4 linked regions of the Diceros bicornis minor genome follow. The protein of the gene in region 4 interacts with the protein of the main gene of each other region in a pairwise test. Links are inferred from orthologs where the notes say so. Each region holds a gene or a part of one and is shown on either strand. Other genes may lie near its edges. The genes, in order: TOM1L1, ODAM, TOM1L2 and TOLLIP.

Region 1 (7,249 bases), on a different chromosome or scaffold from region 4:
TTCCATTGATATAGCCAATAATTAAGCTTTTCATCAACATAAACTAGACTAAATCTGTTTTGCTGTCACTTATCACTTTTTCTTTTCATTTATGTCTTAATAGTTTATAACATTGTGAGATTTTGGTTGTACATTTTTGTTTGTCGATCACCATATACATGTCTTCCTTTACCCCTTGTGACTACCCCCCACCCTCATATCACTTATCACTTTAATATGCACAGGAAAATTAACAGAATTGTATCCCTTATAACAACCTGTAATTCAGACTAAATTCACAAAATAGTTGGCCTTCTTAATGAGTTTTAAAACTTTAATTCTCTAAAATTTAAAAAGTATAATAAAAGATAGCATGTCATTTAAGAATACAGCATGAACATGGGTGAGTTGGCACTTGGAAGAAAAAAATTGTCTTGTGACAGGGAGAGAGAAAAAAGACTGGTAGATTATTTCCTGGTTAGTAATGACCATTGCCCAGAGACAGGTCACCCCCAGGAGTCCACTAGCTCCTTGACAATATTTCTCAGTTACAGTAACATAAAATACTGGCAATCAGAGCAGGGGGAATTTCTAAAGAACAATCTGTCTCTCTTTAAAGAACAAGGAATTTGAGGCTCACAAAGACAAAACTTGAAACTATTCAGGAAAAGGCAAAGAGGAGAAAAATTATAATGGATTCTCAGATATTCCACAGGCTGAAACAAACAGCTGTCCTAATATTTCAAGCTGACATGTCTTCAAAAGGCAGCGGGTGCCTAAGGGGTGAAGAAAACACTTTCAACAAGAAAACCAAAGAGTTTGCAAGAGAAAATGCGCTGTAGTTCTGATGCTACTTATCAGAGGCAAAGGCACGAACCACACACTGTACTCACCCATCGTGGGCAGTGTTAATTATATCACAGATGTGCATGAACTGACCCCAATCTTCAGTCTGAACTCCAGCAAATGTAGCCTTTTCTGCAAAGAATAAGCTGTTATGTTGAGTCTGAGCTACAACAAAATACGAAATGTCTGGTCTTCTTGGAATAATCTGCCTGCAGTTCACTAGCAAGTACCATTGAGTTTATGTTACCAAAGGGCAAAGAGCTTTTTTTCTCAGCAATTCCCAAGAATTCAGGAATCAATCAGAAGTCAAGTTCAGGGTGCCGCTGTTGCAACAGTAATGGGTGACCTATTAACAAACACTGCAGGCACAACACCTGGCTGCAGGGCCAGCGAGGCCGGCTAAACCTCCTGGAACCCCATTATTAAAGAATCAGATGTTTTTCCCTCTCCAGATATCCTCCTTAAGAATACAAAATGCTGTTTGGGAAGGGTAAAAGAACACTCAAACTAAACGAGTTTAACATCTTTCCTACATGAAAAAAGGGGTCCTGGGGGAATGAAGAGAAAATGAAAAAGGATAATGAAGGGGGATCAAGAATAAAAGTTCGGTTGGGGGAATCCCAAAGCTTAGCCTGCTTCCCATCCAGAAAAGGAGCTATTTGAATTTGGCATCCAATGGACAAAGCTAACCAACCTTGTGCTGTGTAGGCACATACTGCTGTTCCTTCTGCCTGATTCCTTGGTCTTCCTCCCACCTTTCCATCGTCCTAGAAAACTCCTATTCACCCTTCAAAAGCCATGACAGAGTTAATTTCTCCATTTTCATAAATTTTGGGTGTTCTACATTTTTCTTGTATTGCAAAGATACCATATTATCACTACAAAACTGTGTCCATCTTCCTTACAAGACTGTGTTCCCTGAGGGTTGAGACCAGGTCTTACCTTTGCCTGCGCCAGGTCCCAGGTATACAGCTGGCAGTGAGTAAATGTTTACAGCATTAAAGAACTAATCAGCCTACGATGATGCAGTCTGAATCCATTTCTGCTCAGGGTTTATTTTAATATTCAATAGGGATATATCCAGCAACATTAGAAAGCATTCTCTCTTCAAAGATAGTGACTCTCACCATTTTATAAAGATGTGGGAAGGTTCAGGATAAGTGGCAAGTTCCATGTCACACAGCAGTTAATCGAGGTGCGACCAAAACTCCAAATCTGAGCCTCCTCACTGGAACTACCAGGTTCTCACATTTCCTCACCCCCACTAAGTTCCAGACATTATCATGCTTTGCTTAGCATTGATAGGCGCGCGTGCCACACCCGGGTCCCCAAGGCAGGCATCAGGGAGAAGAGGGAGGCGGGAGTTGGTGCTGGGAAAACTGCCCAGTCACTGGCTTCTGCTTCCGCGTACATTACTCAGATTAACTCAGGTTGTAAGGGCCCGGCGCCAGAGAGAACTGGTTTGGAGAGACCTGCCTGTCACAGTGAGGTCACATCACTTCTTCACCTCCTTGAGCTTTCCTTCCCCCCTCTGCAAAGCGGACAGAACAATACCGTGCCCTCGAGTGAACGCACTTGATGAACACCATTCCCCTGGCCGAGTCTACGCTCTTTCCTTGGAGAGGCCCAAACACTCCGCACCTGAATCCCGTGCGTGGGTCACCTGTTCGGGCCACTCCCCAGGAGACATCAAAAGGGCGATTTTGAGGACGGGTTCTAGAAAGAGTGGACTATAAAGAAATGCCTCAGAGGCCGGGTGGAATGCGAGTGCCCTGGGAAAGTTGCAGGGGGAGGGGAGGGATTGTCCTCAAACTTGGACCAACTCCGCCCTCCGCAGGGCGAGAACGGAGTCCAGCGGGAAGGGTCCCCCAGTCCCCAAAGTCTATCCAGGCGTCTCCCCTCGTGCCTCCTTACCTATGAGGTGGCCCACGGAGGTCGCATAGGGATCCCGGTGACTCTTGCCAAACGCCATGGTAGCCCCAGAGAGCCGGGCCCAAGAAATCCGACTCCACCGCTCTCCGGCTCCCGACTCCACCCGCTCGGGGCCCCTGGCTCCTCCTCTTCGCCCGAGCGCGTCCCGGGCTCGGGCCGAGGCTGCGCATCCCGCCTGGCCGCTGCGGGGCGCCGGGCACCGGGCGGGGGACGGGGCCGCGGGGCGGGGCTCCGGGGCGCCGCGCACCTGCCTCGCGCCCCGCGGGACTGGCGGGGAGGCGGCGCTCCCTACTCCGGGTGGGGCGCGCGGGCGGGCCACGGGGTGTCGCTCCGGACCCAGATGGGCTTCTCGCCCCCGCGGAGCCGGGCGGCCCCGGCGCCACAGCCCGGGAATGAGAGACCCGGGCTCTGACCCCGCCGCTTACGGGCCAATTGCTGCTCTTCTCTGCGCCCCTTGCTCTCCTTCGTAGAGAAGGAAATATGGGATTAATAATACAAATCTCAGGATTGTTGTGAGAATTAAGGGCGTAAAACGCTGAGGTCAGTGTCTGACACGCACAAAATAAATATTTAACCACTGAATGGAATAACTAGAAATATTTACACCCCCACCCTCGCCCCAGAGATCCAGGAGGGGAGGTGTGTCCCTTGCCCTTTAAAGCTGCAGGTGGTGGATAGGAAGAGGGATTGGCTTCGAAATTAGGGACTTCCCAGGAGCCGGCGTCGTTTGTCTCGCCTCTGTTTCCTGAGGGACCACAGGGCGCCGCGCAAGCTGTCGGTTCCTAACCCTCCCTCCTGGGAGCTGTGTTCTCCAGCGATGCTGAGGAGAGAGGCTTTCCTTCTGCTCAGGCAGGAGTGTGTTTGGCCTCAGCACTGCTTTGGAATGTAAATCCGAGCTTCAGCAGTCCAGCCCCTTTCCAGCTGCCCTTTCAGAAGAGGAATTTATTTCCTTTTCCTGTGCGTTCATTTAACGTCTGATTAGCGATGTTAATCTCCAGCGACGCCGGAGCCTGCTAGAGAGACGGGTGTCTCCAGGTGATGGCAATTCGCCATAAAATGGCCTCCCTGTGCCTCCAGATCTTGCATTCTGTGGTCAGCTTGGGCCCAGTTCCACACGCCCTTCCTTGGCCCTGGAAGTGATGAGGAGAGAGATCAAAGGGGCTTTGTCTGATTTATGTCCTTAGTCTTACATATTTTAAAATAGAAGTAAAAACCAATTGCAATGCATGCCAAGGGACTAACTTTTTTTTTCCCCCTCTAATTCGGTTACAGATTTCCCCCGCTATCTGAAAGTATAGCATTCCCATGGAAGCTTTGGTAAACTGAAAAGACATAAAAGGAAGGAGCAATTAGCATTCATTTATATGGGAAAATTTTTTGAACCTTCCCAGACCAAAAAAATAACCTACCAAGATAAATAGAGATAAAGCACAGATGCTCACACAGTTCAAAGCTGTGGCGGCTTGAGGCTGCGAGGCTGAGTGCAGTTCCAGGGGAGGGAGCTTGGCGGCGCCACTCTGGCTACTAAGAGTGCGACCCGCCTCTATAATTAACTGGCTGCAAATAAAACCCTGGACGCTATTTTCTCTTTTCACCTTTTTTCCTTAAAGTGAAAATGCTCTTCAGATTTCTTTCAGTTAGCGAAAACAGGTACTCATGTTAGGTCTTTCGAAAAATCGAAGTGGCGTAAAGCGAACTTTCACATACCAGGGGAAACGTATATTTCAAATTTTTCTTGACCTAAGTGAGCTGGGATCTAAAATCTAGAATGAAACATTTTTGTTGTCATGGTATTTCTCATAATGGGATTGGTCCTGCCTGTAACTCATATTCTCCACCTACTTATTCAGGTTGAGTAGCTATTTCAGATTTTATCAACTTCCTTAGTCATCAGTCCAGCCTCTGCTGACACTGTTGAAAACCTCTTTTGTGACATCACCAACCTAATCTCTGTTCCATGTTATAGACTGTAGCAAAATATTTCACCTTCTCTGGACCCTACGATTAAGCAACCTTAAAGAGAAAGTAAAAAAAAAAAAAATAGAGTCAATTTTAGCCTAGGTTACTGTTATTGTCAGTGGCCTTCCATCAGGAAACGAGAACTAGGAAGGAACCAACCATTTGGACAGATTTCTAACACAACTCTGCTACTTCTTATTTGAAAGGTGGTTTGGTTTTTTATTTTCTTGTGTTACAGGATTGAGGCACTGAGAACGTGCAAAATGGCACCGGGGAGCGTGTTCAGGACATTGAGGCCGGGTAAACAGAACCAGGTTGATGAGTACTACCTGTGTTCTGTCTCAGCCATGCCTGGGGAGAAGCTTTTCTCTCCACATGCCCACGAGGGTGTTGTGGTGGTTGCAGCCTTCTCCTTCTGTGCTCTGCCTCTTTCTCCATGATCCCTCTCCTCCTCAGAAGTGAAAATCAACTCAGTCGATGTTAATATGGTCTGGGAGCAGGATAGAATTCACAGCCAAGGTAAGGTCCGAGAAGGAGCAGAGTCTCAAATAGAAACAAGGTTCTAATTTCTGGATACCAGGAGCAAAATCTCACAATTTCAATTCCCAAAACACTTCCTAAGCATTTATTTATAAGTAAGTCATAATGCTAGGTGGAAGCAAAGAAAATAACCTTTATTTAAAACGCACTAGAGCCAGTCGTGATGGCCTAGCAGTTAAGGTTTGGCGCACTCCACTTTGGCGGCCCAGGTTCGGTTCCCAGGCGCGGAACCATACCACTTATTTGTTAGTAGCCATGCTGTGGCCATGGCTCACATAGAAGAACTAGAAGGACTTGCAACTAGAATATACAACTATGTACTGAGGAGAAGGAAAAAAAAAAAGAAAGAAAGAAGATTGCCAACAGATGTTAGCTCAGAGGGAAACTTCCCAAGGAAAAAAAAAATGCACTAAGAGCCCAGAACAGGAAATCTGTCAACGTAGTCTTCGCAATCCTGGAGGCAGGTAGCATTCACCTCAATTTTACAAATATGTAATTTGAGATTAAGAAAAATAAAGCTAATACATAGCTTGGCTAGAATTGAATCATGGCTGCCTGATTCCAAAGCCTGTATTATTGCTACTAGGTGAATCTGCTCATTGAGCATGACATCTCATTTTGTTTAAGGATCTGTTTGATTCAAAGAGAGACCTCTCAAAGAAGATAAGAGTAGGGGCAGTCATATATTTTGCTAGCACATGATCCTGCTGTTCTTTCTGTACTTATTCAAGAATGCTAGTATTGGCCCGGTCCGGTGGGCAAGCGGTTGGGTGTGCACGCTCTGCTTCTGCAGCACGGGGTTCATGGGTTCAGATCCCAGGCACACCGACGCACCGGTTGTCATGCCACAATGTGGCGGCGTCCCATATAAAGTAGAGGAAGATGAGTGTGGATGTTAGCTCAGGGCCAATCTTCCTCAGCAAAAAAGAGGAGGATCGGCATGGGATGTTAGCTCAGGGTTGATCTTCCTCACAAAAAAAAAAGAATGCTAATATTTTCTGTACTAGAACTATATGCTGGGTGTGCTCTAAATACATTACATGCATTATGTCACTTAATCCCATAATAACTCTATGAAACCAGTACCATTATTACTCTATTTTACAGATTAGAAAAACCAAAGTAAATAATTTTTCACACAGTCACCTTGCTAGTGAAGAACTGTCTGATTCCAGAAGCTGTGACTTTAACCTGTGTACTATGCCACCTCTCATGGGTAGAGCCCTAGGGAGTAGGTGGTACTCTTGACCAGTTCACACTTTAAAAAAAAAGTGGGTTCTAGAGGATGGTGCCTGAAGAATGAGGTGACTGAACATGGCAAGTACACATGTCTAGAATACAAAGTTGACCCAGCACCAGGATTTATGTGCCTAAGAGTCATTTTCATCCTCTCATTTGATTCTGTTCTTACCACTAAATTTTTTAGATTGTCAGATCTGGACATGAGCTTAGAATTCACATAACCTCTATCCCCAGCGTTCTGTAGATGAAAAAATTGACAGCCAGAGAAGGGAAGTGACTGGCCCAAGGCCATCCAGCTCCAGGCTAGGAGAACACAACACAATAGCTTAACCTAAGTCCCAACTCTTCCTGCTATAGGCACCTCCTCTCTATTTGAATATTTAAATATGCTTCTGCCACCCTCCCCATAGTATTTTCTCCAGCCCTCTCTTTATCTTTCTTTTTTTCCATGGTTCCAGTTCCAAACACCACCCATTCTCTCTCCCCTAGCTGTCCCACTAGGAAACTAACTTCTATAGCAATACGATCATCAAATCTAACAGCCATTTCTCAGCCTCATCCTCTTTGCCCTGTCTAGCATAGGATGTCCCCCCTCGCCCCCCCAGTTAACCGTCCTTCTTTCCCCCCTCCCCTTTCAGGGCACTTCTCTATTCTACGTTCCTTTTTCTGACTGTACTTTCTCATGATCTTTACCTGGCTCCATTTCCCTCCCTAGCCTGCTAAACCCAAATCTCCCCACAGTTCTGCAGTG
Region 2 (7,739 bases), on a different chromosome or scaffold from region 4:
ATGTCAATGTTTTTCCCCACAGAAATCTCCCATAATGAAATTCCTAGTTTTGATTTGTATTTTGAGTGTGCTTATGCAAAGAACAGTAAGTCAAAGAAGAATCTGAGAAAGATCTTTACAATTGCCTTTTAAAAAATTTCTAAGTAGAAAACATTTCTATGGTTAGACTGTATATTAATTTATAAATTCAGTAAGTTAAAAATAGGAACACATTGCTTTGACCTGAATATTTAAATAATTTTCTAAAATCTATTTACCCACAACTTACATTTTACAAATGTAAGCAACTTGCCATATTGACTTGAGATCTTTGCAGTAAAAGAGATAAAATGTTATCAGTCCTGCTGAAGCTTCCCCTAGGGATCTGATTCTCCTCTGCCCCATCCTAGATGTAGAACATTCTGAAGTTTGTGTGTATGCTTCCCTGGCTTGTTCATGTAATTGTAGTGTGCACATACATGGCTCTTAAAATATGTAAAAAAGTTTTGTGAATTTTTAAAAATTTACATAAACGACACGTAATATGTTGTATATCATTCTGCAACTGGCTTTTTTCAATGTTTATATCGTTGAGATTCAACCACATTGATGAATGGACCAATACTTTCACTTTAATTAATCTTTGTCATGCTAGACCAACATTATAATGTATTATATCTGAGTAAAATGTAAACTATATTTTCTATATGATCCTGTTGAGTTGATGATTCTTATTCAAGGCCTTTGCAGGTGGCCTAAAAGCATTTTTTTAATTATGTATGCTATCAGCTAAAAGTTTGAGTACTCAATAAAATACAGTAGTGTATGTACATCTATGTGCGTGTGTATATATATGTGTGTATGGTAAAAATCTTAACCCAAAATGGAAATTAAAAATTATAAGAGAAAATACTATTTTCTATCAGTTTCAAAATGGATAATCTTTTTTTAATGACTACACAATTAGAAAAATTATGAAATTCAGAGATGAGTATTATACCAAGAAGAATTTACTCTGTAATCATTTTAAATATAAAGTAACTGTATTCGAATAGCAAATATTCTAAAAAGAAAAACATTATTAAAATAACTAAATGAAGTAAACCATTTTTTTTCTTTGTTTTTAGTGGGGAAATATTCAAAGCAACTATGATTCATTCAATGAAGAGGTAGTACTTTAATATTCTTACATTTAAATATAACTCCATGTTTTATGTTTTCTAATGCCACATTTGCAGCAACCCATTTCTTAACTCTCAAAAAACCATTTTACAAAAATTGGTGTAATTACAGTCACTGTCAAGAAAATTTAGTTAATATAATACTGATGTTATCTTCATAAACTTTTAAATTTTTAATATAAATTCAGAAAATAGAGTCCTTCACTTTTGATAGAGTTCTAAGAGCATAATGTATAAATTCCTCAGATTTACGTGTTATAATTTGAATCAGAGGATATAAACTGGTAACATGAATGCTAAATCCTATGTATTTTGATGATTTTCCTTGAGTGAAATATTAATCAATCTATTTTTACAACTGGGTAATGGACCAATGGTACATCTTGCTTGAAAATACATTAATTATATTTTAAAGTGCTGAACTTCTCCACACCAGCTGTGGTGATCAGTGGTAGGGCGTCTTCTGTCATGTCATCTTTACTCAAATCTGGACAAGGAAATATACTCTTCTATAAAATGATTATTTAGCCTAAAATGAAACTATGAAGTTATTGTGAAAATATAATAAGAGATATAAAAGAGAATAGACAGAATTTCCAAAGCAAGTGTATGAACACTCTGCATTTCAGTTACAGGGATTATTAGTGAACGTCCTTGTTTAAAAAAGAAATTTCTATTCCAAGGATATTTTGTAATCATACCATTATGATATAATATGACTACCTGGTGCCAGGGAACATTCTGGAGAGGCATCAGAGGAGTTTGAAGATTCTCTGGGGGTGGGGATTTCTCTCTTCATAGGGATTCCTCCTTCATTCACAGTCTTCATCGTCTGCCAACTTCTGGGAAAGCATAAGGTGGGAGTTTTTATTCTGCCTAACCACTGCTCCATAGAATATGTAGAGGCATCTGAATATGGCAGGCAAACTTATATCAAGAATGTTAGCATGTCTTCATGTCATAAAGAACTGGTAGAAACACCTCTAGTAAGCATTGAAAGAATATATTCAAAACTCTGTCCCAGAACTGAAATAAGCAAGTCTTGAGTCAGAATTCTGTTCTCATCACCAACACAGACATTTTCTTTTTCATTTGTCAATTTTATCCTTAGAATTTAAGTGACTTTGACTTTAATTACAATCATTTTGAACACCAACCTTCAGAAGAAAATTTGCCTGATCTTCTGATAGATGATGGATCTCCATTTTTTACATCCCTTTAAAGAACACAAGGTAACTTTAAATTTGTGTGTGAATATAATAGATCTCCTCTGAAATGATTTTCTGATAAATAAAATATTTAAACCCAGACAAAATACTTGTGACAGGTAACAGAATTTGTTGGATACAAAATATAGAAGCTAGGATGCTAGAGTCTGACCAAGTCGGTCCATATCCCAGGATCAACACTTAGTAAGAGCATAGCCCAAGCAAATTGTTGACTTTCTGCGTGCCTTGGTTTCCTCACCTGTAAAATTAAAATGATACTAGCATTGACCAGCAGAGTTATGAGTGTCATACGAGATAAAGTAATACATAGTAAGCAAGTAGTAAATATAAACATTATTGTTCCAAGATTTAAAAGAAAACCAGTGAGCATTTTCTCTTGCAACGAATCACTTTGCTACATAAATAAAACCATAAGAAATATCAGTAAGTCTGGAAGAATATTGATTCTGTCCTAGTTCTTTAGTCCATAAATAAAGATCAAATTCCAGATTCAGCACACTTCCAGATACATCTTAAGACCAAATTGCCATTCTCCCATTCAGCAAATATAAATTCCCAAAAGCAAGCATTAATTTCCTACTATTTCCCAGGCATTCTCTTTGGAACTATCACTTGAGATAGAATTTCATCAGTGATCATTAGTATTGGCTGTCTCATTTTATTGATGAGAAAACTAAGGCCCAGATTATTGGATTATTTCTTCCACACATCACACCACATTCTGATGCAGGTGTGATATATGACTTTCCTGCACTACCTCTAGAACACATGGCCTCCACAGTCCCAATGTCAGGGGAAGACAGAGTGAGGGGGCACACCAATTCTTAATCGCCATAACCAGGAATAGCACACATAACTTCTCACAGTCCTTTGGTCTGAACTAGACATGTGGCTCCATCCTACCTGTAAGGAAGTCTGGGAAGTAAAGGGGAGAAATAAAGCATTTATCCTCTCTGCAACAATAACATTGTGTCTAATAGTAATGTAGTAGGGTGAGTATGTGTGTGAGAGGAAGAGAATTCAGAGGACAATCAAATAAAATCAATACAAATTTTAGTTTAAGTTTTGACCTACTAACACCAAATATTTTTTTATTTTTAGATATGGATCTCTGAAACATCTCCCTGCTAGAACACTGATTTGTGCATCTCTTCTAATAAATCCAAATCTTACTCTATATTCTTTACTCAAGAATTTGGTTCTATTTCGTTGGTGTCTGTGGATTATATCACGTACACTAACGGAAATGGATAACAACCGTAATAACTTTGGAATTTGAATTTCTTCACCTTTAGTAATAAATCTCTATTGCAAGCATGTAACTTATTGCTATACTTTATTTCCCAAGAATTTACCTATAGCAGTCAAGACCATTACTTTTTGTGTGGCGTGCCTAACTTTTATGTCTTTTTTTTTTTTTTTTTACCATATGTGTATCACACATGGTATCACAACATTTACCATTCATTTAAATATAGCTAATTCCTTCTGCAAAATAAAAGATTCAAAAATAGCAAATCATATACTAAGTAACATGTCTTAAGGAATAAGACCTTACTTTGCTACTCCTGGAGCATTGCTTCAAAGATATTCATTCAACAAATAGTTTTTCAATCTCCTTTGTGCCAGGAACTGTTCTAGATGCTGGGAACATAGGTGTGAACAAAAATAGCAAGGAGCTTACTCTCATTGAAATTACATTACAGTGAAGCTAAGCAGAAAATAAACAAATGAAAATTCAAAATGAAGATAAAACTGGTGCCAGAAAACTAAGACATGGTGCTGTGATAGTTTTGGGGAATTTCAAAATCATTTGACACAAACTAAATTTAAGCTTCCATTAATAATATACCTTAGTGTAGGAACACACTTTCTGGCTCTTCTCAATGAATCAGAGAGAAGGCTTTAATTGAATACCTCTTCAGATTCTTGTTCTCATATATGAGGGATATAAATAAAAAATTATTAAAGTTATGTGAGTCATTCAGTATGCAAAATGCAGTAAATCTCAATGATTTTTATACACTAGTCAGGAAGTTATCTTCACTTCATTCTATATTTATTCATTCATTCAATGAATATTTTTGAGTTTCTATTAAAAGTCATGCATATGATAGAGATGCTGAAGATAATTATCTATGACGATAAGACAACGTTCTTCTCCTCATGCACCTTATATTCTACAGGTGCACCCAGGCAATTGACAAGTAGTTTGCAATAAAATATAGATAGTAAAAAAAAAAAAAATCTTATGAAGAAAAAATACAGGAAGAAATACTAGTCCCTGCTTTATAGCACTTCTGCTTAAAATAATCCTTTAATTTCTTACCAGAGTGGACACAACTTATGCGGTATCATTGTCATAGGCCCTGGATCCAGGTAAGGCAGAATCACTTACAGAAAGATCTTTGGAAAGGCCTACTCTGTTTGACTCTGCTAACAGTCTTGTGTGCATACATGCATGCACACACACACAACTAACTACATTTACTTCAAGCATTTTGCCCTTATGGTTGATTGTACCTCAACTTTCTACAACAAAGGAGAGTGGAAATAACAACTTTCCCAAAATGAAAACAATAATTAAGGCCTGAAATGATTGTGAAAGATGATGGTTTCTTGTGAAAATCTGACCATTGCTAATTTTTAAATTGCAGTAAAATTATCCATTCATCCATTGATCAGCACTTAGATTGTTTCCATATCTTGACTACTGTGAATAATGCTGCAATGAACATAGGAGCGCAGATATCTCTTCAAGATACTAATTTTGTTTCCTTTGAATATATACCCATAAGTGGGATTGCTGGACCATATAGCAGTTCTACTTTTAATTTTTTGAGAAACCTTCACACTATTTTCCATAATGGCTGCACCAATTTACATTCCCACCAACAATGCACACATGTTCCCTTTTCTCTATATCCTTGCCTACACTTGTTACGTTTTGACTTTTTGATAATAGCCAACCTAATAGGTAGGAAGTGATATCTCATTGTGGTTTTGATTTGCATTTCCCTGATGATTAGCAGTGTCGAGCATCTTTACATATACCCATTGGCCATTTAACCTTAATAAAGGAGGAAATCCTGCCACTTGTGACAACATAAATGAATGTGGAGGACATTATGCTACATGAAATAAGCCAGATACAGAAAGACAAACACTTCATGATCTCACTTATATGTGGAATCTAAAAAGGTCAAACCCATAGTAACAGAGAGTAGAATAGTTGTTACCAGCGGCTGGGGGATAGGGGTAACGGAGAGAGGTTGGTCAAAGCGTACAAACCTTCGGTTATAAGAGGATAAATTCTGGAGATCTAATACACATCATAGTGATTATAGTTAATACTAATGTTTTGTATACTTGAAATTTGCTAAAAGAGTAGATCTCAAGTATTCTTACCACACACATAAAAAATTGTAACTGTGTAAGCTGATGGATATGTTAACTAGCTTAGTTGTGGTAATCATTTCACGGTGTACATGTATATCAAATCATCCCATTGTACACTTTAAATATATATATTTTTTGTTTGTCAATCTTACCTCAATAAAGCTGGGGGGAAAAGTGCAATAAAATTAGATGAAAGTCTTTCTACAAATAAATGAGTGGTGCCTGACAGCAAAGCACAGAGGAGAAACTGTGATTAGTAGGTTAAAATCGTGGCTAAAATCATCAAATAATTATGAAAAGGAGTTGATTCGCTCTGACAAATGCAATGGTAAAGCAGGACAATGCACATGAAGAAGGGATTCAAGTATGGTGTCTGCAAATCCTTTCATCTCCCTCCAATCATGTTATTAAATGTTCATAGGTACAAAGAAATTTTTACATTAAAAAATATGAAAAATACTTCATATTGTCTAATTTCAATCCCTGCAGCTTCATTGTAAGCTCTATTTCTATCACAAATTCCTCCTGAAGAAAGAAAACAAAGCCTCCAATGGTAGCTCTAGAAAAATCTTCAAAAGCAACTTTCACACTTTAAGTTCTAGAAGGAGGGTAACATGGGGAAGAGATACAAGCCACCTCTTTAACTTTGTGCAATGTGATTTCAAATACTTACAGTACTCAGTAGTCCTATTCTATGTGGACCAAAAGCTCTCAATCCTTTCCCTTATATGCAGAAATCAATTTCCCAGACAATTATTATTATCTCAATTGTTTCCCTGATATTCTCGGTAAAACCTCCAAACACCTCAAATTACAAATCTAAACACAGTAATATAAAAACTTGGCATTTATTTGCCTATTTAGAATAAAATTTTGCTTATCTGAGGAGATTTGTTCTTTAACTTCAACAATCTGAAGGATCAAGAAAATCACAATACAGAAAAGACAATTTTCAATGATACCATCTCCAGGAATAATTATAAAATGGTCAAAAGTCTTTAGTGCCCCCACCCTCATAAACCTCTTCCCTTCTACCCCAGTATAAGCTCACCCTCTTCCAATTCTATTCCCACCAAAGATACCTTAACAATATGAGTGACCTCTTCCAATCATTTCTCCTTTCTGGGGGTGGCCTGCACTTCCATTTCTAAACTTCAATGTTCTAAATTCTTAGCAATTACTCATTTAGGTAAATGTTTAAGCATTCCTTTTCAAAAAAAGACAGCATTCAAACAGAGCTCAAAACTGTAACATTAAAAGTCTGCATCTGAACAGAGTTTGAAAATCCTAATGAAAATGAAATCACGCTCTTTGAGGGAAAATTCTCACATCAGTGAGCATGAGATAAGCAGAACTCGTGGATTGAAAAAAAAAAAAATCTGCCCCTTGAAATTGCCAAGCCACATAAACAACTGACAAAAATACTATTCAGTTACGGCTTTGGGTATGTACACGGGTGACTGGCCTCTGGTCTGTCCTTTTAAGCTTTAGTGAACCAAACATCAGCATTGGCCATGAGACACTGAATAAGCCACTGGGTTTATCTGGGATGAATTCAGTTCTCTTGACTTTTCCTCATGTCTTTGTTTCCTTTGGCTTTTCTCTGGTTGGTAAACAACATGTCTCTATTCTTGTCTGTGAATACCTTTATTGATTCTGTTGTCACATTTATTTTCTATGTACTAAACTTTAATCCCTGGTGTATGTCTTGGGTCAGTTTGTCCTTTGTTGCCATAAATGACCTTAATCTATGCCCTGCTTAATGGAATTCTTACGGAAGCTGGATACACCTCCTAATGTTGTCACAGGGATTGAGGGATTATTTTGTAAGCTTCTGAGTTGGCATCGAATTTCCTCTAGCATTTAACATTCTAAAAGTTTGTCACATTAAAAAAAAAATGATGTCTAGATTTTAACTCATTCTCACTGCGAGGGATACCACTACATTGCC
Region 3 (7,661 bases), on a different chromosome or scaffold from region 4:
TTTTGAGGAAAATAAGGTTCAGGGAGAGTAAAAGCTGAAGTCAGCTAAAGAATCTCGTCTTTGATGTCACCCAGCCAGAACAGGGCTTCACCCTGGGCCAAAAGCGTACCTGCCACTGTTGCCCACAGCCACCTCTGTTCCCCTCAGACTGGCGCTCACAGACGTGCCCACACCCTTCCTGCCTCCTTTACCTGTCCCCAGGCATAGATGTCTCCTTCTCTCACTGGAGAAGTCACACCCATCCTCATGAACAGCCCTTGGACTCAAGGAAGCCAATCCCACCCCCCCGGCTCTTCTGAATTCCTTTGGACTCCAAACAGCACTGACAGTCCCCACCACTCGACTGAGCACTGAGCTACGGAGTGGCCTTCTGTTAGTCGTCATTGTTCCATACACCTCTCTTCTCTCCCCTGACACCAGAAAGCCCTTGAGGACCGGGACAGTTGTGAAATCCCAGCTCTCCCTCTTACCAGCTGAGCCATCCCTTCACTCCTTGAGCCTCAGATTCCTCATCTCTAAAGTGAGAAGGACAATAAAACCCACTTCACAGAGCAGCTGTAAGGAGCAAACAATGGCTGTAGAACTGCTGTGTGTAAGCTATCACTGCTGCATTTCATCATTAGCTCTGCGGTTGTTTTATTTCTGTATGCCCCTCCCTCCCATCAACCCCCAGCACATACTTTTAAAAGAATACTAACAATACTACATGTCAAGAAAGCCACTTTTACACTTTGTCACAACAGTACAGAATAGACATTAGTACCTCATTCTGTCCTCTAATCATTGATCAGAACTGAACTGACTGTGAAATGACCTAGGCCTTGCCTGCTGACTAAGTGGCAATGAGGAGGCTTCATTCCCTTTGTGGTCCAGTGTCTGTTATAAGGGATGGTGGATGCTGGGGCCTGGAAGGGTATTTTCCTTCACAGGTCACAGACAGGCCAGCTGTCCCTCATATCCTCTCCAGGGAGAAAATCCAGCCCTAACTTCATGATTCTGTGTGAGCAGTGACAGCCCCAGTTCACTGAGCCTCAGCTGTGTTCCAGGCACTGTGGTAAGAGTTGACACGCATCATCTCACTTAAGCCGCACTACTCTGTGAGTACCTATCAACCTCTCTCTCTCAGCAAACTAAGGCTCAGAAGGGTTACACAATCTTCTGGGGTCACACAGCCAACAAATGGACAAGGTAAGATTCAACTCAGGTCTTCCTGACAGAAGCATCATGCTCTTTCCATTCACTACATTCCCCTACATCCCTTATATTTGTATATTTTTAAATCCCCTTTAACTTCTACCCCTCATCAAATACCTTGGCATTTCAAAGGTGTAGAGCTTCCTACTGTAAAAGAGACAGAAAAGAAAAAAAAAATCCCCCAAGCTTACTGGCTCCCTCCAAAAACTGGTTGGAATTCAACACCCAACTGAGAAATTAGTTTTTGGAGTATGGCTGCAGTGAACGAACACCTGAGGAAAGGAAATGAGGAAGAAAGGGGCGTGAAAACCTAGAGGAACACGGGAGGTAGTCCACAGAGATGGGAAAAGACTCTTCCCAAGCCCAGTGTCCACCATCCCTTACCAAAGACGTTTCACCACAGAGAAAAGAAAGGCTCCCAAATGCCAGCTAGCCAACAGAAGAGACCTCAGTAATTTCACAGGCCCCACTCAAGGCTGAAACATAAGCTGGAAATTCATAAGTAAAGCAGAAAATAAACAAGTCACTTCTGCCCAAACCAGCCAGGCCCATAAGGACACCAAAGCTCCCTGCTGATAAAAGACCTTTTACCAGCCCCTCCACAAACCAGGAGGAACTCAGTTTTAAAAGAAACTAATCAACGTTCTTGACTGAGCACTTGGCATAAGCTCCTGCCTTGGGTGAAAAGGCAAGTTGCTTTTTCAGTAAGGAAATCTCATATGGTGGCCACACAGGTGTCCCTTCACTAGCCTTGGGCTTTCCTTACCCAGGATACTGGTCATCTCTGGTGCCCTCTTCCGGGGACCCAGAGCCCCCTATAGGATTAACAGGTACTGCCAAGTACCCCTCTCTCTACACTGCCACCAAAAGATTTCATCTTTGGCAAATTTAATGTAGCAAGAAAGCAACAGTCAATGTGCAGAGGTTGCTACAAGGACTATCAAAACTTGAGCATTTGAAGGGACCTACCACATCTCACCTCCAAACACCTCATTTGACAGACAGGAAAAACGTGAAGCCAGAAAGGGCAAGGTCATAGGGAGGATAACTGGCAAAGGCTCCACTGGAGCCCAGGCTTCCTGATTCCCAGTCCAGGGCTCTTATCATTGAATAGCACGGCCCCCCTTCTTCCCGGAGGCAGTGCAGGCATGCCAGCCCCCCTGCCAAGATCGTCACCCTCTAGGAACCCCTCCCCCTTCCCAGTCCCTCCTACGGCCTAGCCTAGCCGAGTTGCAGCTCTAATTAGCAAGTCTCAGGGCAGGGAGCGTTCTCTGGGAGGGTGCCCAGTCCGCGGGCTGCTGGTCTGAAAAGGAGGAGCAGGGATGCAGGGAGAGGCGTCTGGGAGAACCGGGTCCCGGCGGCAGTGGCAGCGAGACTGTCGGGCTGGACAAGGGCGCACGCAGTGGCATCTCCCAGGAGGCGCGGGGTAGGCCGACAGCGCGGGCACCACCTCCAGGAGCCGGGGGGAGCCGGGCCCCGAGGGGGAGGGCCGCGCGGAGCATCTCCAAGTCCCAGCTGGCCTCGGGGCGCCGCCTGGCAGGGTGGCACCGACGCCGTGAGCAGGCCCGGCCCGCCCGCGGGCAGGGGCCCGGCGACCAGGAGGTGGCCCCGGTGCCCGCAGAGGCCCGTGGTCCTCTCCGGCCCTGTCAGCCGCCGCCGTCGCCCAACCAGACGCCCTCCCTTCGCGCGGCCTTACCGAGGCACTGCCCCACCGGGGTGCTGAACGGGTTGCCCAGGAGGAACTCCATCTTGAGCGGTCAGCACGGCAGCCGTCCAGAGCCCTGTTAGCCGGCTGGTCTCCGCTGTACCCCGCCGCGCTCCCGACCTGACTGACACTTGCCCCCGCCCCACCCTCTAGAGCGCCGAACGCGCGGCCCCTGACCCCGCCCCCTTGTCGCGTCCCTATTGGGCAACGCCTGCCCTGCCCTCCTCCGATTGGGCCCTACGGCTTCCCGAGCGAAGCCCCACCTACCCCGCGCTGTCCGATTGGGCGGAGGAGTGAGCTCAGTCACAGGAACCTCCCTCAGGCGTAGTGACACCGCCCCTGGCCCGCCTCCGAACGAGAGTTTGTGCGCTTTGATTCCTTTATATATTGGTCAAGCTAGGGAATCCTTATGATTATTGGAGAACAGACGAGTCAATCACTCAAATAGGGGGCGGGGAAGAGGCGGGGCTAAGTATATCCCCGCCCGTAGAAAGTGCTGATTGGAGAAACATTTGTTTTCTCTCCGGCTGGTTGGTGGCAGGAGTATTCCCCCGCCCAGAAACGTGGTCACGTGCCCCCTCAACTTTCACTCAGGATGTCAATCTTCTGACTTCCCGTTAGCAACGGAGTGGTGGCGCTTGGTTTCCCTAGCAACCGGGCAAAGTGGCTGCTGCGTGGAACCAGCCCGGTAGCCCGCGCTTGAGAAGGTGAGATCCGAAGCTGAGGTTCCGGGAGGACTCGCAGGGGCAGACAGCGCCCCGACGTAATTCTCTGACCTTTTACTCCGAGAAGTGCGGCCGGCCCTTATCATCTGCAAAATGAGCACACAGATCCCCTGCCAGCCACTTTGCAGCGGCGCTGAGACAGTCAGAACGCTAGTACCCGGGCTTTCAGGCCTGCGGATGAGAAAAAAAGGCTAAGGAAGCATTTCCTTGGGGAGCAGGGCTCGAAGAGATGTTTAAGGGGTTCCATCTCCCAGCCTCCTGGCCTGATCCCTTTCGTAGAAACAAAGGTACCCGAAAGAAAGATCCACTGATAACTTCTTCAAGAATTTAATCCTCATATCCGACCTCTTAACTGTCGTTAAATTATTTCTCTTATTTTTATTCTTCATCTTGGTGCTGTATAAAGTGCTTTGGGTGGGAATATGGATACTCAAGTTCCATGTCTGTCTCTTGTCAGTAGTTCCTTGTATGACTGTGGACAATTTCCTTTCCCTTCCAGGTCTCAGTTTCCCCATCTGGGAAGTTAGGGCATTAGGACTCCCTTCTCTGATGGCGTCCGGAGCTGACAGGTAATTAAATGACACATGTGCACTTAGTACCCAGTAAGCACTCAGTAAATGGTTGATTTTCTTCTTATTAATTCATCGCCAATAGGGGCTATATTTTTCAGATCCAATTAATCCCAGGTTGTTTCCCAGGACAATTCTGGATCTGTTTCTCCTGAGGAGGCTACTCCACTGACAGTGATGTAAAACTCTCCACTGCCTTCCCCGTCTCCAACCTCTGATCTACAGTGACAACACTGTCCTCAGGCAAGTCAACAGGAACCCAGATTGGGTGGTAAATTACTGATAAAATCCTCTTAAGGGAAGAGAATTCGGGCCTTGGCCCTGACCCAGAACAGCTGTGAGAAACATTGTGACAATGTTAGAGCTGTGACAGTGACAGTCCACAGTACCCTGGGTACAGTTGAGTCATGGTTAAGAAATTGGGCTCTGGAGTCATGTTCTCCTGCCTCTGCCGTATACATGTGTAAACTTGTGCATGTTACTTAACCTTTCTAACTAGCTTCCATTTTCTTATCTGAAAACTGCAGATGATCAGTCCCGCATGTAAATTAAGTTCCTAGAGATCTCTCAAATCCACATCTTACCACCAACCACCCTGGGCATCTCTCACGTCACGACTCTTGCCATTCTCAGTACTACAGCCAGAGAGAGCTTCTTAAAATTAAAATCTGATCATGCCACTGCTCTTATTAAGGCCCAGGAGCTTCCCAGGGGTCCCAGGATAATAATTGAACTCCTGTCGACCTTTTCAACCTTGCGTTGCTTCAGCCAAAGTGGAACATGTCTTGTTCTCTCCCACCTCAGGGCCCTCACTATGCGATTCCCTTTCTTCTTTCCACTCCTCCTTCAGATCTCAGCCCCATCTCCTCCGGCCAGGCCAGGTGCCCCTAATGTATGCTGTCAGAGTTCCCTACACCTACAAACTTGTCACTGTTTGTAATTAAACATTTCTTTGATTATCTGATTCATGTCTGAAACAGAGGTAAGGAGATCTGTCTGTTTTATTCATAGTATGTAGTAGCTATTCATTACGTGTGTGGACTAAATAAATGATCTTAAACAAATGTAGGAAGGAGGAATTATTCATCTTTTACAGATGGGAAATCGAGGGCTTAGACAGGTGAAGTGAGTTGCCAAAGGATGCACAGTCAGGATCCAAATCCTGCCCTTGTGTGCATAACAGCTGTTCCATGTTGCATAGCCATTGTCGGGCTTGACTGAAGGCAAGCTTGATCTGTCACAGGTGCCAGGCCTTGACGACGTGGGAGGGATGAGAAGTCAAAGTTTTGAAATCAGAATTTAGAATCATTTCCCAAAGTGCAGCACCTTTCTTTAAAAAAACACAAACACTTTGCAGGTAACATCTGCCAAATGCAGCACAGTAAAATTTCCCCAAAGGCAAGCTATGGGAAATCTTGGAAAAATTTGTTTCAGAAGAGTAGGGAGATGGAGAGAGGCAGAGGACTGGAAACATCTTCAGGAGGTGAATCAATCACCCTAAGGAGATAGAGCCAGTGTTGACAGATTGGAGAGAATGGGAAGATGGAAGGCACAAGTGGAAAAGGGGTGTGGGGGGAGGGAGGAGGGTGTAGGTAGTGGGTAGGAGAGGCTGTGCCTCCTCTGGGGACAGAAAGAAAGGACACATAAGAGTTAAAGGCACTAGGACATTTGATTGTGGACAGTCCAGAAATGAAAGATGCATATGTGCATAAGCTGCATCCAAGTGGATGGTGGGGGAGGAGGGAGGGAGGGCAGCCAGGCAGTGGCAGTCTCTAAGACCAGGTGGCAGGATTGCCAGGCCCACCTGGGTTTGCGGTGGACACCATCAGTCCACCGCCAGGAGTCTCTCCAACAGCGCTCAGTAGAATAAAGAGCAGAACACAGGGGCTGCCCAGCATCAGGGACCAGAAGGCAGGAGGTTCAGGGAGGCCAGGATATTGGGGATGCACCTGGACAAAGGTAGAAGGTGAAGCCGGCAGGGAAGTGAGAAGCAGAGGTGGAAAGCAGAAGGGAGGACCTAGTTTCCACAGGGTGTAGGAGGCAGAATCTGGAAGTTTCCAGTAGACTGATAGGAGAGGGTGCCTTCCTGCAGCATCCAGCGCTTCTGGATGTTCTCATTAAGAGGGTTAGTGATGAGAATGATGTCAGGCACCCCAGCTTCCCAGGGCTGTGGCTTTGTCCAGCCAGGAATAGCAGCCCAGTGTCAGCCTCACAGTGTGAGTGAACAAGTCCACAGATTTCCCCTTTGCCTGTGGTATTTCAGCCAAATCCCCTTGGACCGTTAGCGACAGAAACCTACTGGAGTTAGTTTAAGTAAAAGAAGATTTAATGCGAGAAGTCAGGACACTCTCACAGGAGAGGAAGAAGCCCTCACAGGTCCTGGAATTAGGGACATTAGGGGCCAGAAAGCTAGCAAGGAGAAGGCAGTCTCTATGTCAGTCTGTCTGTCTTTTTGTCTTTTTTTTTACTGGATCCCATCTCTGCTTCTCTCTGTCTGCCTCATCCCTCTCTTGCTCTCTCTGCTTAACCACGTGCCTGGCCAGTCCACGGTCCCCCAGTTCCTCCCCAGCTCAAGCAGCCAGCTCTGATGGGCACTCATCCTCTGGCCCCAAGCTCAAATTTCTCAGTGGGAGGACATGAATGGCCGGCTTGGGTCAGTATCCACCTATGCACTGGGCAGCTTCTGGTATGTGTGTGTGGGGAGTACACATATGACTGCCTGGAAGGGATGAGGCTCTCAAAGAAGGGGCATTGCAGGCTGGTATGCCTGGCTGGGGCTGCCAAGGGTCATGATCAGTGGTTGGTGCCAAGAAACCCAAACAAGGATGGGCACAGAAAGCCAAAGGCCTGAGATGGCCCCGGCTGTAAGGGAGCAGAGCTCCAGAGGCTCAAGAAACCGGTGTGGACACCGGTCCACTTCTCTGGGGTAGAGGCACAGCTGTGGTTGTGGGGCCAAGGGGTGCACCCCTGAGGATGGGCACCAGGCAGGATGGGTACAGATGTTTGCCGGGGAAGCCCTGGAGCAGCCTTCGTGCAGATGTATGAACCCCTAGGTCCAGTGGGAGGAGGGTGGATTTCAGAGTGTCTTTGGCCACCACGATGCTCCACAACCTTACAAGGACCTCAGCCAGAACTGGTCCTCCAACAAAGGGAGAAGCGGAGTGTGGGAGAGGAACGTGGTGTTTTTCAGGGAAGATGAACCGGCTGTGCGACTCGATGGAGCCGAGAGTGATGGATGACGACATGCTTAAGCTGGCTGTGGGGGAGCAGGGCCCACAGGACGAGGCTGGGCAGCTGGCCAAGCAGGAAGGTATCCTCTTCAAGGATGTCCTGTCCCTGCAGCTGGACTTCCAGAGTGCGTATCCCAGGGTGGGGTGGGTGCACCAAGCAGGGCCCCGGCTTTCTCTGCTCTACCTTCTACAGAGCCCCAGAATTCCACACAATGTCCATATAAAAAGATAAAATTTT
Region 4 (7,099 bases):
AGTCGGAGTAGCTAGTTTCCCACTTTTCCTCATCACGCCCACCTCAAGAGCCCCCTCAGGCGCCCTGCTCAAGGACAAAGGAATCTCCCCAGCCCTGTCAGATTGTCCTTCCTCCTCCAGCTTCCCAGGAGCTCTGCCTGTCACCGCTTTATCACCAGCGGGGGGCAATGGTCAGACTTCAGAGTCGCCTGAGGGAGCAAGCCTAAGTCCAGGCTCCGGGCTCCCTGGCTGAACGCCAACCTGTGCGGGCAGGGACCGGCCCGAAGGACGGCACGGGGCTAACACAGGAGTGCTGCCCGCCAGGACCTAGCACAGTGAGCACTTGCCAAGCGCCACCTTCACCAGCACCAGCTGGGATCGCAGCGTCTTCCTGTTTACAAGCCAAGCGCCCTGCTCATCCCTGAACCTCGCTGGCACCGAGCACACAACGCAGAGTGGGGGCTCAATCAGTATCAAGCCAAAGCACGCTGGAAAAGGAAGAGCTGTCCAGATGCTAATACCTGGGAAGGGTCCTTACAAGTACTGGTTAACGAGAGGGTTGCAGGCTGGGCGGGAGAGGTGGAAAGTAAAGAGGGTGTGCCAGGCAAAAACGTTTGAAAAACAATTTACACTGTAGTGACCTGATAACACTCAAGGGCCAAATCCATTTGCCAGCCGTCTAGAACAGCACCCGGGCCACACTGGCTGCTCCCTCACACACCAGCACAGGCACTGCCACTCAGGACCCTTCCTCGCCTTCCAGAGCCCGCCACACCCCGGCTCGTCAAGCAGGCCTCTCCCTCTCCATCTCCCAGACCGGCCCAGTTCTGCTTTCAGTGCTCCCCTCTCCCACCCACCCCACAACTCCTGCTCCTCCCTCCAAGAACCTTACTCACTCCGACCCCCACCCAGGGGAGGCCACTGCTGACGCCCAACTCGAGTTAAGATCCACAGACCTGGGTGTGCCCATCACCGCATGGCTCATCCGTGTGTTTCAGGTGCTAGGCATTCCCGTGCCACGCTGTAAGAACCCGACGGCAGGCACCACACCCGGTCCTTCACAGGACTGCACTGCCCAATATACTCATCAGGACCACTGGCAGAATGAGCACGTCACAAGTCCTCCAGTGGCACTCAAGACCCCAGCCACTGAGGACACCTTTCTGGAGCCCCCAGCAGCTCTGGCCCAGACCCAGCGTTACTGCCGTGGACAGGTCACGGAGGCGCCCCAGAACCCCCGCTGGTCCACGTGTGCTGCACACCAATGCACATGGACCACACGAGGCGCTGCAACAGAAAACCCGGGAAGCACCAGACACATGGACCGTCAGCACTCTGGCGGCACGGGGCCCCGGTGGGACTCCCTCTGACGCTCCACACTCTCACGGCGGTCACAGAGCAGAGGTCTCCCTCAGGACAGGACAAGCTGACCTTTACTGAGTGCTCCCTTCGTGCAGACACTGAGCCCCGCATGGCGTGTTGATTCAGCCAGTCCCACCCACCAGCGAGGCCCCGGACCAGGAGGCTGAGGACACGTGACAGGCCTGGCCGGGCGGGGCTGCCTGACCACTAGGCCCATGGCTTCCCCGGGGCTGAGGAGGGAGCTGCGTGCTCAGTGCCCTCGCTTCTCTGAGCAGCCTGCAGTGTAGAAGGAAACGCTGCTGGCAGTCCCTGCTCTAGTTCCCCGTGACAGAGTGAGGACGGAGAGACGGGAATCTCTCTAGGACTCTGGACGCTTCCACACCGAGCCCGACAAGAAGTGTGGGTCAGGTCCAATTCAGAGCCCTCAGGACGAGCGTCTGGGCCCAGAGGGGCCCCTCCCAAACCCGGGACTTCCTGCACACTCAGGAGAAACGTCCTGTGGCGCGGATTCCTCCCCAGCCGGAGAGACACAGCAGGATCCTCAACACCCGGCCTCGAGGGAGGGTGAGGAGCGCTGGTGACCCGGACCTCCCGAGTGAGGGCGCTGATACTGTCCATCAGAAGAACCTTTCTCCCTACTCAAAAGGACCAGAATGTTCCTCTGCTGCACGTTTTGAGCCTCTGTTGATAAGAACCTCACTGCTCATGACAACCCGACCCAGCCCAGTGTGAAGGAGCTGCTGGGGGCCACTCCCCCGGAGCCTGCTGAGCGGGTCCACACCCGTCCTCCTGCCACGGCACAGTCAGCACTGAGCCGCATGGAAGCCCCGGGATGAGAGAGCTGGGGGTCAGAGGGCACTCCCGGGTTCTCGGCTCCCATCCTTTCATTTGCAAATGAAAACGCTGAGGGTTTGAGCAGTGGCCACTAACCCGGGACACAGCTGGGCCTCTGAGCCTCATTCTGCCCGGAGGAAGAGAGGGCGTCTGGGGACCCAAGAGACCATCGGGGTTCAGGTCCTCCTCTGTAAGGGCACAGTCTAGGAGCAACGTGCCTCCTCCATCTGCGGGACTGACTCCTGTGGGGGGCCTCCTCCACCTGGGGACTATCCGGGGTGCAGGGGGCCTCCTCCATCCTGGGACCCACCCAGAGTACGCGGATCTTTTCTACAAGGCGACCCACTCGGGGTGCGAGATCCTCTTCTGTTGGCGGACCCACCCTGGTGGGTGGCCTCCTCCATCCGGGGATCGTCCGAGGTGCGAGGACCTTCTCCGACGGGAGACCCACCCTGGTAGGGGGCCTCGTCCATCCGGGTACCCACCCAGGCTGCGAGATCCTCTTCTATCGGGGGACCCACCCTGGTGGAGGGCCTCCTCCATCCGGGGACCGCCCAGGTTGCGGGGACCTTCTCTAACGGGGGGACCCACCCTGGCGGGCGGGCCTCCTCCATCCGGGGTGTGGGGGCTCCTCCAACGGGGACCGACTCGGCCCGGCCGCCTCCCCTCGCTCGCCCCGAGCCCGCAGTCGGCCTCCCGGTGCGCCCCGGAGGCCGCGAGCCCGCCCGCCGCCGCAGGCCGCCTCCCACCCGGAGCTCACCGGGCCGCGCTGCGTGCTGACGGTGGTCGCCATGGCGCTGCGCCGGCCCCGCCGAGAGCTGCCGCGCCCGCGACCCACGGCGCCGAGCCGACGGTTGCGCCCGCGAGGCCGCCGCCGCCGCCGCCACAGTCAGCTGACGTCGGCCCCGCCCCCGCGCCGTCCGCACGCCCTTTCCGGCACGCACGCACGCACGCGCGCTCCCGGCGGGCGCCTGCGCAGTCGCTCGCCCCGAGCCGCGGCCCCGGGAAATGGCTCTTGAGCTGGCGGTCTGCGCATGCCCGCCGGCCGCCCGCGCCCGGGGTCAGGGGCCTGGTCCGAGCCCGTCGTCGGCCGGCGGCTCGCGGAGCCCAGCCCTGGGGACGACGGGTCTGCGGCCCTGAGGGGGCGGGCCCCGGGCGGAGGGCCACCGTCCGGAGGCCCCCGGGAAGGAGGGCGGCGACACCACGAGGGGCGGACTGGCGCCCGCGGGTGGATGTGGCTCCTACCCGGGGCACGTGTCACCCCCAGCCCTGGTTTTCCCTGTACCCTCTCCGGGAGCAGCGTTTACGTTTAAGTTTCAGAAACCAGGAGTCAGGGCGCGTGTGGGCTGCAGTTCTCGGAAGACGCAGGGCCTGCGTGTTCCGGGGACACCGGGCGGGCCAGCTAAGCCGGGCTCCCACCCGCGGCAGAACTGAAGCGTGATCATCGACGGTGCTTCTTAGGGGAATTACCGACATAAGCAGAAATAGGGTGCTATTTCTAGAATATGCTGCTTCTCCATGTATGTGTCAGGGATGAGGCCTAAATTGATAATCCCAGCTTCCTTCCTCCACCGTCGTTTCACGGTCCCCTTATTCTCTGCCCAGCCCTCAGCCCTATCTACCCCCAAGCTGCAGGAGATAAGGAATTCCTTTCAAGTCTCCGTAGAGGCTTCCTTATTTTCAGTCAGAGAAAGAGGGGAGAAAGGCCTCCCTTGTGCTGGGCCTGGAGTTCTGCTGTTGAACATGAGCAGTTTCACAAGATCAGACAAGTGACTGTCAGTAGAAAACCACGACCACTCTGTAATCGTGTGAACACAGACAAAAGACAAACACCGCCCAAGCCCAATGACAAACACCTCCCTATCCTGGCTGATTGGCCAGCTGCTGCTTACCAATTACACCTTACCCTCCCTCCAGTCTTCTCTCCTTCTAGATAAGAGTTATTAAGAAGCCTGATCATAGAATTACCCCTGTGTCCAGGCTCCAACTCGTAATGGCACATGTCGGCCTCGGCATTCGTGGAACATCCTAATGTACCAAGAGCCCCAGACGGGTTTTCTGCACAGCTTTGCGTGGGATTCTTTGAGTAATGAAAATAATAAAATAACATTTCTGAGTGCTTCATCTGTGGTAGGTATTGTTCTAAGTGCATTATACGTATTATCTCATTTATTTATTTATTTATTTATTTATTTATTGTGTGTGAGGATGATCAGCCCTGAGCTAACATCTGTTGCCAATCCTCCTCTTTTTGCCGAGGAAGACTGGCCCTGGGCTAACATCTGTGCCCATCTTCCTCTACTTTATATGGGATACTGCCACGGCATGAGTGACAGGCGGTACGTCGGTGCGCGCCCAGGATCTGAACCTGCAACCCCCGGGCTGCCCAAGCAGAGCGAGAGCACGTAACTGCTAGGCCACGGGGCTGGGCCCTGTGTTATCTCATTTAATTTACACAACAATGCTATGGAGTCCATGCTTTTGTTATCTGCGTTATAGATAAGGATGACAGACAGATGAACACCAGCAAGCAATTAATGTCTACAGTGTATAAACACCTCCCATACGTCACAAGGGAAAAGGAGACCAGAAAAGTGAACTGATGTTGAAAATTGGCAGTTCAGGGGCCAGCCCCGTGGCTTAGCGGTTAAGTGCGAGCGTTCCGCTACTGGCGGCCCAGGTTCGGATCCCAGGCGCTCACTGACGCACCGCTTGTCCGGCCATGCTGAGGCGGCGTCCCACATAAAGCAACTAGACAGATGTGCGACTATGATGTGCAACTATCTACTGGGGCTTTGGGGAGAAAAGGAGAAAAAAAAAAAAAAGGAAAATTGGCAGTTCAAGGAGGGGAAGCCCAGATGCTTGACAAGTATATGAAGGGGTGCTGGAACTCGTGAAGAATAAGAGAAATAAAACAGCAACTAGGTACCACTTTTCATCCATCAGAACAGTAAAAACTAGGAAGGGTGGGACATCAGGTCTAGGTGAGAACTGAAGCGATGGGAAGCTCTTGTGTCGCTGGTAGGCCTGCAGACTGGAGGAGGCTCTCCAAGAAGCAATGCAGCCGTGCTTAGCAAACTACATGTGCTCCATGAGCTCTCTCCTGAGAGATAGGCTGGAAACATCCTCACACTGATCCACAAGGGAACGCAGTCAAGGCTGTGTGTTGCACGGTTGTTTGTGTAGCAGAAGTTGGTAGTCTAATTAGTCATCTTTGCAGGAATGAATAAATAAAGTGCGATGGGTATACACTGTGGAATACTACGCAATGGGGAGAAACAGTAAGTAGATGTTTGCAGAACAACTTGTACACGTTATTCGAATCCACACAAAATATATTAAGCAGCCGTTTTCAAGACACTGGACATCCGGCAATGAAGGTCAGCGGTCCCTGTGAGACAGGAAACAAATGAGGTAAGCCCTAGGGCTTCCTCTGTGTACAGCCAGGAGAGAGTTTCCAGGCCGCTGTGCAGGGAGGGGGAACTGAGGCCAAGACCAGTGGTCTCCCTGAGCCGAGGCTTGGCTGAGACGTCAAGGAGACTTGGAAGGCAGCGTTGGCGGGGCGGAGTACCAGAGGGGAGAGAGTGGCACAGAGAAAGGGCAACGGTGTCCGCAGGGGCTCCCCCTGGAGCCTGCGGCTGAGCACAGATCAGCGAACACCGTAAAGTGATAAAACTGCCCAAGGCTGGGGAAAGAACCCCTTGAAAGAATTACAGAAGTAATACCACTAGCCCACACAGGGCCAGTGGTAGCTCCCGTTCCCACCACTCATAGTAAAAAGGCACATGACCCACGGGACGCTGAGTAGAATACTCGAAGCTTTGCCCAAACGCTGCCAAGATGAAGGGGTCATCTTACAGCGACGCAGGGATAAACCTATCAAATGGACGTAAAGACCCTAAAAGTTTATACGTCTGGAATACTTGGAGCAAAAACTGACAGAACTGCAAGGAGAAACAGACAAGTACACGACTGTAGTTGGAGATTTCAACACCCTTCTCTCAACAGTCGATAGAACAAATAGAAACTGAGCAGGGTATAAAAGACTGAACAACACTATAAACCACTTGACCTGATTGGTATTTATAGAAAACTCCATCCAATAACAGCAGAATACACATTCTTAAGTGTACACTGAACATTTACCAAGAAAGACCATATTCTGGGCCAAAAAACAGTCTAAAATGATTCAAATCGTACAAAGTATGTTCTCTGACCAAAATGGAATTAAATTAGAAATCAGTAATAAAGATCAACAAATCAATAATCAATAATAAAGGTGCCTGGGAAATCTCCAAAATATTTGGAAACTAAATAACACACAACTAAATAACCCATATAACAAAGAAACCAAAAGGAAAATAAGACCATATTTTTGAACTGAAGACACATCGTGTTTTGTGGGGGTGCAGCAAAGCAGTAGGTAGGGGCCCCAGGCCGGTGTTAGACAAGAGGGAAAGCCTCAAGTCACTGACATCAGCCATCATCTTGTAGACTCGAGCAAAAGAAGAGCAAATTAAATTCTAAGTAAGCAGAAAACAAGGAGGAAAGAAAGGTCATTGAGGAAATCAGTGAAATAAAAAACAGAAGAACAGAGAAAATTGTTGAAAACAAAAGCTCATTCTTTTAGAAGATCAATACAATTGATAAACCTCTGGGCAGACTGATCAGGAAAAAAAGAAGACACAAATCACCAATACGAGGAGAGAGAAAGTTGGCATCACTACAGATTCCACAGATATTAAAAGAATAGCAAGGGAGTGTTATGAACAGCTTCACTTAAATGAAATGAAATGCAGTGAAATAGACAAATTCCTTGCAAGGCACGAATTAGCAAAGTTCAATCACGAAGAAATTGATAACCCGAATAGTCCTTTACCTATTAAAGAAGGTAAAAACCTTTCCACAAAGAAAACTCCAGGCT

The links.
Region 1: the proteins of TOLLIP (region 4) and TOM1L1 interact in binary tests that used the Homo sapiens proteins (3 or more experiments, as listed by UniProt). The link is inferred for Diceros bicornis minor from reciprocal best matches to the Homo sapiens genes TOLLIP and TOM1L1.
Region 2: the proteins of TOLLIP (region 4) and ODAM interact in a two-hybrid assay, tested with the Homo sapiens proteins (2 studies listed by BioGRID and IntAct). The two-hybrid records come from large-scale screens. The link is inferred for Diceros bicornis minor from reciprocal best matches to the Homo sapiens genes TOLLIP and ODAM.
Region 3: the proteins of TOLLIP (region 4) and TOM1L2 interact in binary tests that used the Homo sapiens proteins (3 or more experiments, as listed by UniProt). The link is inferred for Diceros bicornis minor from reciprocal best matches to the Homo sapiens genes TOLLIP and TOM1L2.

The regions. Positions count from the first base shown.
Region 1 is NC_080757.1:32,347,888-32,355,136, forward strand, and holds the start of TOM1L1 (TOM1-like protein 1), read right to left. Parts: upstream 3,019-7,249; 5' UTR 2,928-3,018; coding exon 2,740-2,927; intron 1,613-2,739; coding exon 1,542-1,612; intron 958-1,541; coding exon 873-957; intron 1-872. UniProt on the Homo sapiens protein: Probable adapter protein involved in signaling pathways. Interacts with the SH2 and SH3 domains of various signaling proteins when it is phosphorylated. May promote FYN activation, possibly by disrupting intramolecular SH3-dependent interactions.
Region 2 is NC_080747.1:56,692,481-56,700,219, forward strand, and holds the start of ODAM (odontogenic ameloblast-associated protein), read left to right. Parts: upstream 1-4,719; 5' UTR 4,720-4,768; intron 4,769-7,739. UniProt on the Homo sapiens protein: Tooth-associated epithelia protein that probably plays a role in odontogenesis, the complex process that results in the initiation and generation of the tooth. May be incorporated in the enamel matrix at the end of mineralization process.
Region 3 is NC_080757.1:1,377,859-1,385,519, forward strand, and holds the start of TOM1L2 (TOM1-like protein 2), read right to left. Parts: upstream 3,007-7,661; 5' UTR 2,943-3,006; coding exon 2,891-2,942; intron 1-2,890. Other genes in the region: DRC3 (dynein regulatory complex subunit 3), read left to right, coding at 7,389-7,548. UniProt on the Homo sapiens protein: Acts as a MYO6/Myosin VI adapter protein that targets myosin VI to endocytic structures. May also play a role in recruiting clathrin to endosomes. May regulate growth factor-induced mitogenic signaling.
Region 4 is NC_080770.1:702,316-709,414, reverse strand, and holds the start of TOLLIP (toll-interacting protein), read right to left. Parts: upstream 3,018-7,099; 5' UTR 2,969-3,017; coding exon 2,936-2,968; intron 1-2,935. UniProt on the Homo sapiens protein: Component of the signaling pathway of IL-1 and Toll-like receptors. Inhibits cell activation by microbial products. Recruits IRAK1 to the IL-1 receptor complex. Inhibits IRAK1 phosphorylation and kinase activity.